Neodiprion lecontei: one gene and its partner. The protein of the gene in region 2 binds, or shares a complex with, the protein of the main gene of each other region. Links are inferred from orthologs where the notes say so. Each region holds a gene or a part of one and is shown on either strand. Other genes may lie near its edges.

Region 1 (9,978 bases), on a different chromosome or scaffold from region 2:
AAACAAGTCTTTCTCAGGGAATTCACCGAGCCGAGTATCTCTTGACAGCTGGCAAGACAATGGAAGCGATAAACGAAGGAAAAGGACTAATGTCGCTTGCCAAGGAATCTCTTGTTTATTTTCGCGAGTATCACAGAGGTCGGCTCATGTTTTATTTGACAATTTCATGGCTGGGATGGATCATGCTGCTCTTTCTCAAAATCACTAACATCTCGCTCGATGAGAATCGCCCAAAATTGGTATTACTCTGGGATGTCCTGTTCGTGTGCACCTCAATCCTTCTCTTTATTGTGCACAGAGGTAAGCGGCCCTAGTTACTTGACTGCCGAATTTTTTACAGCACTTTTGCAGCGGACAAGTTTGTTAAATAATCGAAAGTTTCAGGTACAAGTGGATGGCGTTTGCAAGGGTATGCATTATTGGCACTGCTTTCTTCATGGCTTGCCACTCGAAGTTTCAGCGCTAACCCTTGTCCATCGTTCCGTGGCGGATGGTATTGGATAGGTTGTACGATTTCTCTGACGTCGATTATGTCCTTTGCTTTAACGATGAGGTGGATATTCGGAGCAGCGACTCTGTGTATGTGCGTGATACAGGGTGTTCTCTTCAAGGACGCGGATCGTTTTCTTCCCTGGACAACAATCGTTTTGGCCGCCTTTCCGCTACTACCGACCGTAGGCCCCGACACACAGACACATCTCGTGTAAGAATCTGTCAGACAATTCCCTTTGCTTGATCTTTGTCCTGTCTGATAGTCATAGAAAGATGAGGAAGAATTTTACCTTATCCACTTTGAGCATTAAGTGGTAATGTAATGTTTCAAGTATTACATTACGTACCGACTTATGGTATATGACGCACGTGACCATGTGTCACGAAAGTAATGCAAGTATTTCTTCAACAGCTTGCTGGCCTTGGTTATTGGAGGAATGACAGTGATTACCGCCGACGATCGTCACATGAATATTTCTCTGAAGGCCGTGGAAGGTGTAAGACTTACAACAACAGCCTTAATATCTTCGGGACTCGTGGATGGTCGAAGCCTCTTGTCCTGGCTAATATTAATCTCTACGCCGTTGTGCATATGCGCTTATTCGGTTGAAGTCAAGGGTAGAATATTTGGAGTAAGTTTGGCATTTTTACCAACCCTTGCCTTACTCTCCGTATCGTATGAGCCACTCTTCCTTATCGCGTTGACGGGTCATCTTCTTTGTTGGCCTATGACTACTGACAAACGTTGTAAAATGTGGGGATTCAAGAAGAAGGAAACCATCAGCGTGAAAGACTTTTTGGTGGCTGGATTTTTTGTATCCTTTTACCTGCTGTATGAGGTGCGAGTAAAATTTAAAGTTGCTTCAAGCTTTGTACACATCATTGGTAATCTTATATTCAGCTCAAGCACTATCTGCACCTATCAGATTGTGCATGCAAGATATGTCGGAACCTTAGATACTCTTTTTTCTTACATGTTATGTTATTATTCATTCGGACTCAGATGCTGTACGTGCTACTGGGGTTCTTTGGTACTGGAAACATAGCAAGCATTAGTTCGTTCGACCCAACATGGACAAGACATTTTCTTACAGTATTCTCGCCATTCACCATGTGTACTCTGATCGTCCTGAAGACCAGCATTCCACTATTGGTTGTTGGGTGTGGTATCAGGACCCTTGCACCGTCAAACCTTTTCATGACGACAATCCTCCTTGCCGATTGTCTAACACTGCAAGTCATGCATACGGTTACACCCCGAGGTAGCTGGATGGACATTGGTAGTGCGATTAGCAGATTTGTAATCGCAATGACGTTACCTTGTCTGATGCTACTTCTTTATCATATTTCGCGTCTCCTGGTGACGTACAGTGTGTGGAAAATCGACCATTCTCAGATTAAGCAACATGTATAGGATTCATAATGTCATGTTACAGTACAGTATGCAGTACATACAAGTGCACCAACCAAAGTATTATTGTATTGATAATATAATATTAGAGATACGTATTTCAGTACAACCTGCGTTATTTTTTAGCTAGTTTTAAATTACGCACAAGCTCGAACCACATCGGTCTTAAACCCCTGCACTGTTGTTGTTGCATGAAATTCAGTAATTCTTCGTGGTGAAAAAGGGGATTTTACACAACTGTATAAAATTACGTATGATGTATGTATGTACTACCGGCCGGAGTAGTGTCGCGCACAGGTGTGTGAGACTGTGAATCGGGAGGAATTGAGTTCAAATCCCCAGCACGACTATGAGGACCTGCGCGAAAACTCTTAACAATTGTCAGTCGGGGGCTGAGTCAGCAAGCTGAGGTTTGAACTCGGCCCAGCTACATCTGGGTAAGGTATTCTGCAGTTTTCCTTGTTTTTTATGCATTCGCGCGGATTTCTATTGAACATCCTAAGCCAGGCTGCAGGCGCCCAATCACTTTCACAAATCTATTGCCTCTCTTGCCCTGCACAAGCCGAATGGCGTACAGGGACATACCGGGTGTATGCATACAGTTTTGGCCAATTATAATGTAGCCCACGTAATGGTGGGCAAAGTGATATAAATGATCGCATTCATTTTATAATTCAGATAGAGTTCGTATATAATGTGAAAGTATTGAATCACTTGAATGACATACATACGGTAGACACATGAACAATTTTGGAATATGATTAGGGGATACGTTGACGAGACAGGTTTCAATTAGAATTTGAATTCCTTGTACTTCTTGGATGCTTTGGTCTCCTGATTCTGCTGACGTTTTCTCTTGCTCTGCAACAATAACGTATTAGGTGTGAGCTTTGAGTCACTTGAAAGTAACGTATGCACCGCGACTGAGCATACCTGGCGATTATCTTTAAAAGGGTACGCTTATTTGTGTTGGTTACACAACACGTGCAATTGGCTTATAACTGGAAGGACAGCACTGGCAACGCAAATTATCGTAATAGATCGAATAGATAATCTCCCGGTACAGTAAAATGACAATAATTTGTGATTTACAATAATTTCTACTAAAAATTCAGAATATCACCTTTTGCCTTTGTACATGATCTTGAAGCATATCGGACAAGTCCTCGCGTCGCAGGTGAGCCTGGCGCGATCTCATTGTCTCTTCGTAACGTGAAGCCATTGCCTCTGAATCAAGGTCCAGCTCGCTTGGATCAAGCGCCAATTCAACAGCTGCGTCCCTGTCACCTTTACCTTCGGCAGATGTACTACCGCCGACACCCGCTGTTCCTAGACCACCTCCGCCGGCACCCGATGCGCTTGTTCCAACGGCCCCAGATCTACGAGCAGCTGCGATGACGGAGGGGGGTGCCTGACCTCCGACTGCACCAGTCATATCGTACACATGGGTACTTCCCATCATGCTTGCCCCAAGTCCCTCTGCGCGACGCTCCTGCAAAACTTGGTATAGCGCAGGCGTGTCCCCGCCCTCCATTTCGCTCTCAATCTTCTTCTTTCTGAGCTCAATGGTTTCGGGTGTTTCTAACCCCGCCGGAATTGACGCAATACCGCTCGGTGTGACTAAGCCTTCGGCACCGGGTGTAACCAAGCCACTTGCATCTCCGGCATCGCCCTCTTTTCCTTCAATCCCGTCACCCTCATTACCCTCCTCGGCGTCGTCCTCGTCTTCGTCCTCACCCGACGACTCTGATTCCGGCTCACCCCACATACCGCGATCAACTTCTTCGTCCATCGCATCGACCCCTGGCGCCCTGGCAACACCGAATACGTCTCCGTACAACGGGCGGCCCGTCTCGTCGACGGGTGGCTTACCCCATCCGCCAGCGTGATAACCGAATGCGCATCCCTCGGGTATAGGCGCATTCAGACCAGGAATCTTGAGGTTTGGATAACTCGGCGGAGGGCCATAACGTTGCATAGCGATCAACCAAGGTGGCGGTACCTTATGACAGTTCGGACCAACCGGCATTCCCAGAGCTGTTCGTAACTCGTCGGATAATTCACCGGGCTTCTTTTCCTTCAGTCTCGTTTCGAATTCCTTACCTTCGTAGTAGAGATCGCCGTGTATAGTCATACGGGGCTTTGTCTGCCACTTGAAAAATGCGTCATGAAGTTTCTGGTAGTCAATGTCTATTTTGCCAAGTTTCGGCCTTGCCCGTTCTCGCATTTTCGCCTTTAAGGTGCGTGTGTCATCCCGTTCCTGAAGGCTCGCTCGCATTTCCGTAATACCGGTACGCTTGATAAAATCAGGCAAATCGAAAGGAGGCTTTTCGATGCCTCGTTTACCCTGTAGGTACTTGCGCTTGAAGCACCAGTGTCTTGGCACAGGTACCGTATTTCGATGAGCTTTCAGCTGCACCAAAAGTTTGGGGTCCCGCGCTGTGACGTCGTGCATCTCTACAACATCTGGACGCCCGACGAGTTGCTTCAGTTCAGCCACACTCAGGCGCGTTAGCCTCTTCAGTTTGCGTTTAGAAAGACGCGGTGTGCCTCCTTCTCCGGTGCCCTGGCCTCCACCCTGCTGATTATGCTGATTCTGCTGGGATGGGTCGTCGTCAAAGTCGTCAATAGGCGGGATTTTGCTAAGTGGACCCGCTGCCAATGTGTTTGTCAAGGGTGGATACTGGCCAATGGGTTCAATCTTATCACTTGTTGCATTTTGGCCTATGCCCGTGCCACCGCGAACTTCAGGTTCCGTCAGCTTGAACGCGTCAAAAACTCTGGCAAATTGACGATACATTGGTTCCAAGTCATTGATACTCGGGATCTCTTGGATGTACTCAATCTGCGGGTCGTCAATGTTCCTGACCTTGACATCAGGCGTCCTGGTCTCGTTTACATCCTCATTCTTCTCATCGCTGCTCTTCTTCTTCCGTTTCTTTTTCTTTTTGCGGTTCTTGGTTCCCCTCACATCCTGTCGAACCCGTGGTGCGTCTGGTTCCGGAAGTAAGTCCTCCAAGAGAATCGAGTCTGGTAGTAAGTTGTCGCGTAAGTCAGAAGCTGGGTTAGATGGATGCGATGTTTGAAACATTGCATGGCCGTGAGCGCTGTTATCGTGGTCGTCGTTCAGATCACCGCCCAGCTCCTTGGCTCTCTCAGTTTTCAATGCAAGCGCCTGTTCCAAAGCAACAGGAAGCTTGGTCGTGCTCACTATGTCGGATACACCATTTCTTCCTTCTTTGCAGAGGTCCTCATTGTCGCCATCACGCACCTCTTCGGCCTTATTACCATGCTCCTCTGGAGTTCCAGAGAGCTGCATCTCGATCGGAGGTGCAATCTTTAAATTGAGAAGACTGGGCAACGGCGCTTGTGGTATTTCAACGGCAACCGACGGCATTCCCATGGTAGTCAATTTCGGTATAGTCGGGTGTGAATGATGGACAGAAGACGGAACGCTTGCTAGCTGTTTCTGAATCTCTTGCTGTTCCATTTGCCTTAACTGACGAGGATCCAGTATTATTTGCTGTCCCTGTGCCTGAAATATATAGTTTCACTCTTGATTTAATGTCTCACAAACACAAAACCAGGAATTTTGTACAAAAAAAAAGACAAAGTACACAAGTAGATAGACCGATTTTAATATCATGTAAATTATACTTCTGTGGCTGATCTTTTGCCAATTAACCCTAATCAAGATTGAGTGGTAACGAGAAAGTCTTCAACATTGAAGTCAAAAGACAAGGTGGAAAGACCTCGAACAGAAGCCCTCTGAAAGTGCGAGAGCGGGGAAGAAAGAAGAAGCACAGTGCAGGGACATAACATGTCGTTGCGGAGCGCTGAAACTGGTTTCTTAACCAATCTATGATTGAACTCATAACTGTAGGCTTTAGTCACTGGTTTGGCCTAGCTACTAGCAGCAGTTTCAAGTCAGTCTAGATTTACGGAAATGCAGTATGTTGAAACAGTCAGTGTCTACATCTCTTCACGAGGTGCGAACCAAGGTATAGGATAACAAGTAGAATGCTACGTCTCTTCCGTTGATTGAAGATTGCTAAATACAGCCAGTCACAGGTATTGATTTGGAGCAAGCAAACAGTAACCTTGGGCACAGAGGTAATGCCATTACTAGCCTACATTTATTGTCTCACTTAGGGGTTTTACAATATTGATCAAGCTATTATCGACAGGAAATTTCTATACCCAACCTTCCCTCGAAAACTCTCACTTAGTCGCACCGAGCATCAAAATCCGATTTATCTGGCTGGCTATATCAGCAACCTTCGGTCAACGGTAGATAATACGTTATTATTGACAGACTTGACAATAGAATTTTTCACCACTTCATATAAAGACATTACGACATTACTGTAAGAAGCGATGTATGGTGGATGGAAAGTTATTATTGAGTTAATTTCATAAGTATTACTAACCTCATTCCCAAGTGCTCCATCCATTTTATACGTGTATGTGTACCCTTAAACGTACTATGTACACCTCTGCCCGCAGCAAAGTCGCCACCTACATTCGTCGATCCTCTCTGCTTCTGAATTACGGTCAGTTTCGCAGTATTTCTCGTAAAATTCAACCAAAAATTCAGCGCAAAACCAGTCCTATCCTAGTAAAGTAACACCAACTATTCACGCTGTCATTTGTATGCCTACCACTCCTAACCTCTACATACGAAATCCTATGCCTTCTTCGTTCTTCTTCTTCTTCTTTCCTGAACGGCTATTCGCCAGTCCGATGACATGTGCCAATGCCTTCCTCGTTTGCCGAGTAATCTTCAAAAAATTGCCTCATCTACACCTCTGCACTGATTACGATGTAAGCCAATTCTTGAAGTCGTGCTGTAGCGTCGGTAACACTGCTGCTGACACAAGGGCACGATACACGGAGGGTTGCAGAGATGAATTCGTCATGTTAGGCGTTGACTGATGATATATTGCTCAGTCAACGTGTTGGGTGTCCAAAGCTTCTAGATCGCAACGACTCTGGTGGTCATAACAGGGACTGAATAAATCTTCCTTCACCAAAGACTACACACCCCCCACTCCAAAAAAGTGCCGGAGTTTCCAGACCTGCGTCTACAGATCATGATCTAAACAGACAAATGAAGCTGAATAGCACAAATTTAAATCTACCCCGTTCCGTTCATTCATATGGGATTCCGGCGATCCGTACGTACCTACGTGAGACGGCACCATGACTGCATCTAGCTGTGCTTACATTCTGCGATCGGATCTAGTAACTAAATTCTAGAATTATCGGGGAGTGGCTAACGACGTCACATACGCATACGGTCCAATCTGCGGGCTCACGAGGCACCAATCAAATCACAAGATTACACTCACCTTGTGACAAACTGGTCGCAACAGTTAAGTTAAAACCGCTGCGCCGCCCTACCGGGCTGAAACCGTAGCTTTGAGATTGCTCAAAACTGTCAATTCAAAATTCAAATCAATCAAGTAGGAAACTGTTGAATACGATCGTTTAAAAGTACATAAAAACGGAAATCGCATTGTTTCTTGCCCTGCATAGTATAGAGTAACGAATAAAGTAATAATCAAGACAAAACCTATTTTACATCGCAGTAAGCTCTAACCTGACATTTGCGTCAGGTGGACCGCACGCGCTTGCGGCGTCCGTTTTTACAGGGTAGGTATGCGGTGTGCAATGGTAATAAATATCAGTATTTAGTGATCGTGTGCGTTGCCCGGCGCACAGGGTCGCTAAGGGGGCGGGACCGCTGTTGTTTGTAAATAAAAAGTTTTCCGTATTTCGCGACAGCGCTACCCTGACGACTTAGCTACTCGAGCCATGAATTCTGTCCTACAGAAGATTTTTTTACCTTATAAATGTATAAAGCATATTATAGAATTACGAATTGAGCGAGTATGATTCTTGCTGGGTCGGACCATTTTCTGCCGGGTGAGTCCACTGTTGTCTTGCTTTTCACCAGATTCGTGCACAGTCGTTTCCACATTTCCTGGAACGCTCGCTAACCCAACCAACTACCTACAATTCTTGGTCCTTGTTACTGTTTCAAAAATTTACCCTAGTGAATGGACTGATATCAGCATGCTCAATTATAATGTAACATGCACACGCAGATATGTAACTTTCAGTTTTACCGTCACACAAGCAATGTAATCAGCTATACATGCATTACAACTGTAATTCTCATTGCCTTTGCAGTATCGGTCGAGACAGCGGCGTTTCTCGGTGCTGTCGCAGGATTCGGGGCTCTCCTGCTGGTTCTCTTCCTTTACTTGTCACGGAAATGGTGTTTCACATCTTCCCCACCTGCTACTTACTTTGGTGGCGTGTGCGTACCTTTTTGCCAGTCTAATAACAGCTCGTCATCCCAACTCAGCACGAATCTTGGTAACTCAAACAATTTAGTAACCATTGAAATGGATTTTCTATGATTTTCTCTTGCGCTGCGCACATCTCCGATTGTCTCAATTATTGAGTCTGATTGTTGAGCACTAAATAAAAAAAATGTATTACCAATGCAAAGTATTACAGAAAGGAAAAACTATTCCCATCATTGAATAGGCAATAGAATGATCGAGATTTCAAAAGTTCTTACTGAAATTAAAATAGTATTACTTCCACACCTGTACTGCAACTCAATTTTGACCCAGGCAAAACATTGGATTTCCATTCGGATGTGGAGACAAGTTCAGAATCTGAGGAGGAAGCATTGCGTCAGCCTAATTTTGGATCTCATCTCTCACGTGACAGCCTTGCCATAACAGCAGATGGTCCCGGGGCAACAGGCAAGTCAAGTTCTAACTTGTCTAATAATTGCTGTTTCTATAAAAACCCGTTCATCCTTTGCATGTACAAAGTGTACACAGAAATTGAATCAGTCACTTTTTATTATATTTGACACGATATTCATTCCTTAAAAAATAACGCAGATGTTGGAAAGGTATTGAGCTGCAGTGGTACAGAAGAGAAATCACTTCTGGATCGGCAACAGGTATGCCCAATATTCGGTTGACATTATATCCTACACCACATTGGGTAAAGCAGTTCCGCGAGAATCATGCGTCGGAATTTGTCTCGCACTTCCATTTTTTTCTAGCACATCGTCAAAATATTGGAACAAGGTTGGAAATCATGCACAGAAATTTACACACCGTAATATCGGTGAGAATGAGTCATTAACCGACATATTGTGAATTATAATCAAATTTCTTAGTGTGTAGTTGAAGTGGGTACCCCCAATGCGATTGGAACCGAAGAAATGGACATTAAAGATAAAAGGGAAGAGGAAAATAAAGCAGACCGGCAGCAATGTTTGAATCATCACAAGGAATCTCCTGTACCGATTCAAGCGGAGGAAATTCACAGCTTGGAGGTGGCGTTGATATACGACGCGCCGATGCGTGAAATGACGGTCTGTTCGCCATATAAAGACACTCATTAGTAACGGCGCTGACAATTATCCAATAATCAGAAAATAGATATATAAAGTCAGATTGCCTCATCGGATCATATTGGTTTAAAGGTAATGTGGCATTGTTTGTTGCAGGTTCAAGTGCTGCAGGGACGGAATTATCCGAATATGATAGGTGGTAGTCAGGTTCGTTTGGTTTTGTTGCCATCTAAGAAACAGAGACGCAAAACCAGAGTCCGTCAAGGGACTACGCCGCAATACATGGAAAGCTTTCTGCTACATCGTGTTAATCCTGAAGACGTGAATGGGATGGGTGTCAGGCTGAGGGTGTACTGGTGGACTGGGCGTATACGGAGGGAGAGATTGCTTGGAGAGGCAAGGGTTTCTTTTGACCAAATAAATCTGCAATTGGAAACCACACTGTGGCTACCCTTGCAACGCCCACCCCAATCTTTATCCACGGTAAAAATTTACTTTTATCTGATGTTTATACCACATTACTCATGTGATATGACAAAGCTGGCTATGTATGTAAATACACACGTACGTACATGTACAATATAGCTGACTATCGGCAAGGGGATGGAAACTCGAAAGAAACCCTTCAGTAGAAATGCTAATTTAGCATTACATTGCAGACAAGTAATTATTGGATAAATGAAACAGG
Region 2 (7,153 bases):
AGCTGAGCCCAGCCTCGGAACAAGACAATCTCAAAAATAGCTCTCATCAGTCTGGATGCTGACTGCGTAACGTATACCATGTCAGACATTAGTGCGAAACCCTCAAGCTTCAATTGAGATATGTAAGCCTGAAGAAGAACGTTGACCTTGGCGCTCGGCTCTTCAATACTCTCCTTTATAGGTATGGGTACTCTTTCCATCAGTTTCTGTAACTCTAATTTTTCTTCTTCCCTGACGTTGATATTCTTGAATTCGCTTGATAATGAGAACACTCTGAACAGTTCAATCTCGCTCAAAGTACGCTTGAGGAGTTGATTGTAAGTGGACATGGTATCGTGCGTACAATAATAGTGGGACGCGATTCTACCTAATTCGGTCGCCTGAAAATGTCCAGATTTTCTATCATACTTAATCAATCCACTTCTGTCTAATCCCAGAGCAGCTGAATGTATTAAATCCGCTCTGTGTAGCTCTAGCAACGGGTCTTCCTTAAGTTTATCATGAGGTATGGCGTAGAGTTGTGGGCACCGCAACATCCTGATGTAGAGATAAGTGTATCCGAGCCATGTAACAGCATCTCGTATATTTTGAATTGTTCCAAGCACAATCTCCGCGTTCAGCATGTCTGACATCTTGCTTATAAGCTGAGATTCAATAGGGAGTTGCTGATTCAAAAGCGAGAGATAATATTGGAGCTCGCTATGGTTCGTTATCAGTATTCCCTCACCTTTAGTATCATATTGTGGACGACCAGCTCGCCCCAACATCTGCAGGACATCAAGCGCGCCCAATTCCACCCAGCGACCTTTCTCTGGGTTGTAAACCTGCGTGCCTTTGATAATTACTGTGTGAGCTGGCAAGTTGACTCCCCATGCCAAAGTTGCGGTAGATACTAAAACTTGAATGTGTCGATCGGCGAACAAATCCTCGACCAAGGTACGATCGACCCTGGTCATTCCGGCGTGGTGAATAGCGAAACCATACGGAAGCAAGTCTTTCAGTTCCTGATTCTTAACCTGCTCAGCTTCAGTCCTGAGTACTTCCATCGACGCAGATCCTTCACGCAAGAACTGACCAAGCGTGTCTTTCTCAAGACACATGTCTCTGATGGCCCTGGCAGTTTTCCCAGTTTCTTTTCTGGAGTGAACAAATACTAGGACTTGATTTCTTCCTGCATGTTCCATCGTTTTTTCGTACACAATCTCGTTCATCACCTGGAATCTCTTCAGTGCCTTTTTCTCAGTCACACCAATATACTGCTGCTCCAGAGCAACTGGCCTGTAGCTGTTGTCAAAGTAAAACAATCCGGTTTCTGGTTTTATCCGCAAAAACGCAGCTACATCTCGGTAGTTTGGAAGGGTAGCCGATAAACCGACTAGCCGCACATCTTCCTGGGTTGTTTCAATGTTTCTTATGGTTCTGGCAACCAGCGCTTCGAGAACTGGGCCTCGCTCATCGTGGAGTAAATGAATCTCGTCGATAATCACCAATCTGACAAGAGACGTGAAAGTTTTTTCGCCTCCTTTACGAGTTATTATATCCCATTTCTCAGGTGTGCAAACTATTACTTGTGTTGCCGCGATTTGTTCTCTTGTCAGCTGATGGTCACCCGTGAGTTCAGACACGATCAAATTGTAACTTGCCAAACGCTTTCCAAAGTTTCCTACCATTTCTTGTACAAGCGACCGCATTGGCGCAACGTATATTATCTTAAATTCGTCAGCGTTTATCGTTCCGTCGGCGTTTATGTGTTTTCCGATTTCTCGCATCATACAGAGCAGGGCGACGTTTGTCTTACCTGCTCCAGTTGGCGCACATAACAACAGATTCTCATCGCTTTCCAACGCCGAATTTTGAAGCCGACTCTGAATTCTGTTCAACGTTTTGAAACCCTCGAACGCCGGCTGTACGTATTTCGGAAGCTGATCAACTTGGTGCAGTTTCTCATTCTCCCCGAATGGCTTTGGTTTCAGTGCTGGGACATGGACCTCTTCGTACCTGAGATGAGAGATTTGAAGTGTTAGCTTGTTCAGTTTCAAATAGTAGCGATTTTCTACCAAAAATTTGTTCATCATTAAAATAAAAAATATATTACCCTTTTCTTTGTTTTCTGAAACTTCCATCTGGTAGCTGACAACGTTTGTTGGCCATAAAGTGACTTCCCTGAGCAAATATCAAATCCTCTAAATCAATCAGATTTCTCGATCCTTGAACTTGACCACCAGGACCACCAGCTCCATCCTCGTTCTCCTCCAGCCGCTTGCGTTGTGCACGTGCTTCCATTGTTTCTTCAGCATCATCATCACCCTTTCCCGTGTCTAGCTGACGCAAGATCTTTGCCAGAGACAAATCATCATTCATTTTATTTCTTATCTTTTGTCTCTCCGATTCGGATTGAGACGATGCCAACATCGTGCAATAGGCAACTGTAAGAATAGTCAGAATATTTAAACTTCCAAAAAACTAGATAAATTTTAATGAATGTTCAAATTGTAATCTTTCTGTTTCAACTATTTAATGATTCATAAATATTAGCTCTGTAATTATAAAGGTGAGTGTTGCTTGATACTCACTCATGTGTCTATATTTTTTAAGCTGTTTGATAAAATCAAAGCAATCATATCCTAACAGGAGAACCAGCTGATTTTCACAATCTCGATCATCACCCGCATCTCGTAACACTGCTAATACCTCAGCAGCTCTTGCTTGGGATACCATTGCATCATCGTATATTCTGCTCAATCTCCGCTGAAGCCAATAAGCATCGATATCTAACGGATGAAGTGGTTTTTCCTTCTTCATTTCCTCCGCACCACCAAGCTGTTTGAAGGGTAAAGAAACAGTTACTGAATGTAAAAAATTAAGATACTATACTGTAATATCTGATATTAAAATTGTACATATGAATAGAAAAGAGTTGAATAAAAATGCAATTACATAGAATTGTTAAAAGTTTATATGACTAAAAAACTTCAGACTTGATGAATATTTCAACTAAACTGACTAGATACATACGTTTTCCGCGTGAATTGCACGATCAATGTTTGCTTCTTCTCCTTCATCCCCTTCATCGTCATTTTCCCTAACCTCTCCGTACACATCTTCATCATCCTCTTCGCTGCTTTCTTCGAACTGAACATTTATACCATATGTCTCATCAATGTTCTCTTCATTTGTTGTAGTCTTTTCATCACTGCCAAAATCCGTGATTTTTTTCCCCAGATTAACCAAGAGGGCGAATCTCTCTTCTGCTAAACCACCAAGCAGCAACTCTGTTTCTTTTTTCTTCTCCTTTTCTTTTAATCTATCATTTTTCAACACAGCTAATACTTCGTCAGCAGCACCACAGAGAATATCACGTGGTTGATCGCCCAATGCTTCCTGAATGAAACTCAGTAACACTTCGTACGTCTGACGAGTCTCTTGTGTTTTGGGTCTGTATACAATTCCTACCATTTCATCAACACCCTCTGACAAGAGAGTGGCACCCTTCATACGAGTGAAGTCATATTGCGCTTCATCACGTTTTTGACGTCTGAGAAAAGTTGTACCGTATTACAGTCGTTAATGATTCAATTTAAATTTTTCATTTTAATACCTAATGCATTTTAGTAATTTGCTTTGCTACTGAATGTGAGAATAGTGCTATGCAAATTTACATCTTCACTCACTTCACTTTACGCTCTTCTGCTTTGCCTGGTTTCGTCCTTTGATGTCTATCGCCCATCCTGGTTCCATCCAATTTGCCCACAAGGGACATAACTTCTCCAGTCGCCTCATCTCTGCTACGTCTTTCTATAAGCCGTACGTCAGCTTGTAAGACAAGATTGGAGTTCTGGAACAAAAAGTCTTAAATCACCAAAGTGTTTTTCCAAAACACGTACAACAAGTAAGTTATGTTTTGGCAACCAATTAATACAACTAGAAATATAACCTATACGACGGAACGTTTTTCGTACGAAAGCAGAGTTCTCAAATTTTAATCGTAACTTAGACGCTGGAACAATAAGTGTTGCACAAAATTTTTTCTTTGTATTACAGTCGTACTTTAGCACATTTCTTGTAATGAAATAGTAATAATTACCGCTTTATATTCGTATTGAAGCTGCCGAGCCGCAGCATCCGCCATGTTTACGGCGTCGAATATACACACTGATCTCTATACCTCAGTCAGACTTCAGTAACGTACAGATCCAAGCGTCAACTATCCAGTCTATATACCTAGGTGACGCATTTGGTATTGGACCGAAACAAGGTAGTCGGAAAAGGAAGGCATAAATGAATTTACTGTACGGTGCTGTCATCAACGAGAAGTCAGGAGGCCAGTGGCTGGAATTTCACTGGCACAGATTTGCCACCGCAGTATTTTGCTGCCGAATTTTTGACCAATAGAAATGTCAATAAAGCAGGCGAGCGTTACCGAGAGTCCCTACCACGGTCTTACGGACTCTAGCGCTACCTGTGCACGCGAAAGACGAATTATCTATTTTCTTGGCATTCCTATTGGTCAAGAACTAGGCAACAAAATACTGCGGCTGGCGGCAGCATTTTCCTGCCCGTGAAAACCTAACAGTCGAGGCGTAGACTGCAGTGTGCGGATTTGCGTTTCTAGAATACCGAAACTCTAGTCAACGATCCAAGAAAGTTTCGTTCCATTTTCTCGTGCACATTAAGATTCAAAATATACCAAGTAAATAAATTCGAAGACATTTATAATCAGCGTAGACGAAACCGAAATTACGATTCAAGTTGAGCTAGAAGGTAAGCGCATATTTCGATTAGTTCTACTTGGATGTAACTTGTCCGACACAATAAAGCTTGTAAATTCAAAATGGTGCACATGCGCAGAGAGAATTTCATGCATGCGGTCGGCTTTTTGCACTTAGCATATTAGACGCACTTCTCCGAGCGTACCACGTGCCGCTATTTCTTGAATCCTCTGCCCTATTCGACTCGTTTTCATACTTTTAACGGTCCAGCTAAAAGAGTGCAGAATAAAAGAAAACACCGTGTAAATAGAAGTGAATAGCGATACCACGTGCTTATTCGGAAGCCTGCGTAATTGTGACGTGACAAGCAAAGAAAGTGCGTGGTCAACAGTATATACCTACCCGATTAACGTAACTAACTGAGCGATAAGATTGCTAGCGTCCTTTCAGATTTCGAGGACGGTTGACCGTCAAGACGCAATGGCACGGGCTAATAATTTAGACAATTGGGATCCGATGGCTGCTCATTACCGCGACGCCAACGTCAATTCGTACGAGCACGGACCTGGAATGAATCTGACGCCTTATGCTAGGTTTGAAATTTAAACCACTTGCAATATTACATCCATGTCGTGATCCCGGCTTAATACTGCAGCAATTCGCATGTCATGTCATCTTATAATTACAGGGGAGGACCGGAAACGGAGTATAAACTCTACGTGTCGAATATCCCAGCAGAGCTAGACCAGGTATGCAAAGTTCAACATGTGCAATGTTCTTTTCACAACTCCATTCAACTGCATGTTACATTCTTCATGACAAAGTATCCATTCGTTTACAATTTTTGGATTAATACCCCATTTTGACTAACACGTAAATACGAATTGCCGAAACGAGTGAAATTGTCATAGCGTTACGTAATAACCAATTGTTTAGGATGGTGTATCCCATCTTTTCGCGAATTACGGCACACCGTCCAGTGTTATATCCCCTCCGAATGCTGGCTGGGCGTTTGTGAGCTATACGAGTTTCCGTGAGGCAGAAAAGGCCATCAGAGAGGTCCATGGCGTCAAACCTTTGGAACTTCGCGTAACATTTGCAAAGAAACGTGAGGAACGACTCGATCGAAATATGGGCCCTCGCCGGACAATAGAATCCAAACCAGTACCTTTTACGTGCAATCCAGAGAACCAGCCGAGGGAGTACCTCAGTCCTGAACAGATTCCACGACATGCTGCACCGCCGTGAGTTATCTAAGGATACATAATCTAATCGAAAGACAGTTAAAAACTTCTACAAATGATTTATAACTTGTGTATATTACTCTCAATGGGTAGAGCATAGGTATAGTTATGGATAACTTTTCATCGAAATGAACAATTTATCCCTCAATACTGTTGACTCGAAAAATTTATCTCACATAGCCAAATCTGTTAGTAAAACTGTGTAACAAAACTAAAATTTTGATTTTAATAACTGCGTTGCAGTACCTGTAATATGGGTCGTGGTAAGAATTTGGCTGCATTGGTGCACAGGGCTGTTAGTGATCCTGTTTCTGATCCTGTGTACTATGAGGAGGATGATTGTTTATATCCAGTTCCCAATGATCCAGCTTATTATAATCCATATGAAAATGCAGAACCTTTTTTACATACAAATAATTTGTGGACTAGGTAAGGTTTGTTGCGCTCTTTATTTTTTACACTAAAGTTTTGCTGTCATCAATACTTTTCAACCTTTCTCAGAGATCGGCTGAAAGTATCCACTGATGGGACCAGATATGTTACCATGGGGCGTGGCTACACCAGGTATGAACTGCCACCACGATATCCTAATGTGCACCAGCATATAAGAGCTGTTTACGAAAAAAGAGAAGCCGTAAGTTCATATTTACCTATATTCAATATTCGATTCTGACTTATCAAAAAGGGTACTGTCTAGCATATGAGAGAATTACAGGAAATATCGCTTACGATTCAATTGCGATGCATTATCTCTACCTTTTCATCGCAAAATTTTACTTTTTGAATAGTGTAGCTTGTTTAGCCTCACCTGTCAATAAAATAACAAATTACATCAGATAAAGTTTTCGTTACATTTTCCAAAACCTGTTGTGGGCACCTCATGTCAAATCGAATTGAGCTACAAATTTAAACAAAAATTTTACAATCCTATTTGACTTAATTGCTTGTGTATTCATTCATGGCATAATCTTTGCAAAATTAGCAGAATAAAAAAAACGCATGTACAAATTTTTTTTTCAGGGGCTCTATCAGTATGGCGTAAATAGAATTGCTGAGCAGATCGGCAAGTGTCAATACTGTACCAAACCAGCTTCAGGCCGCTGCCAGCGTTGTCAGGAATTTTATTGCAACAGAGCCTGCCAGGTAGCTGACTGGCCGAGGCATAAAGTTGATTGCCAGGAAATACCGTAAGTATTTCTT

Evidence for each region.
Region 1: putative U5 small nuclear ribonucleoprotein 200 kDa helicase (region 2) and splicing factor 3B subunit 2 share a complex: the UniProt entries of both Homo sapiens proteins name them as parts of the minor spliceosome. The link is inferred for Neodiprion lecontei from reciprocal best matches to the Homo sapiens genes SNRNP200 and SF3B2.

Annotation. Positions count from the first base shown.
Region 1 is NC_060266.1:53,956-63,933, forward strand, and holds splicing factor 3B subunit 2, read right to left. Parts: upstream 7,002-9,978; 5' UTR 6,585-7,001; exon of another isoform or gene 6,519-6,584; 5' UTR 6,358-6,518; coding exon 6,334-6,357; intron 5,439-6,333; coding exon 3,027-5,438; intron 2,765-3,026; coding exon 2,696-2,764; 3' UTR 1,907-2,695; downstream 1-1,906. Other genes in the region: GPI ethanolamine phosphate transferase 1, read left to right, coding at 1-300, 379-703, 905-1,331, 1,496-1,906; synaptotagmin-14, read left to right, coding at 7,798-7,831, 8,099-8,287, 8,551-8,685, 8,830-8,891, 9,114-9,311, 9,447-9,773. UniProt on the Homo sapiens protein: Component of the 17S U2 SnRNP complex of the spliceosome, a large ribonucleoprotein complex that removes introns from transcribed pre-mRNAs.
Region 2 is NC_060265.1:26,203,008-26,210,160, reverse strand, and holds the start of putative U5 small nuclear ribonucleoprotein 200 kDa helicase, read right to left. Parts: upstream 4,380-7,153; 5' UTR 4,130-4,379; coding exon 4,085-4,129; intron 3,836-4,084; coding exon 3,672-3,835; intron 3,536-3,671; coding exon 3,016-3,535; intron 2,821-3,015; coding exon 2,574-2,820; intron 2,427-2,573; coding exon 2,096-2,426; intron 1,999-2,095; coding exon 1-1,998. Other genes in the region: uncharacterized protein LOC107219073, read left to right, coding at 5,190-5,302, 5,398-5,458, 5,646-5,953, 6,197-6,382, 6,455-6,587, 6,974-7,140. UniProt on the Homo sapiens protein: Catalyzes the ATP-dependent unwinding of U4/U6 RNA duplices, an essential step in the assembly of a catalytically active spliceosome. Plays a role in pre-mRNA splicing as a core component of precatalytic, catalytic and postcatalytic spliceosomal complexes.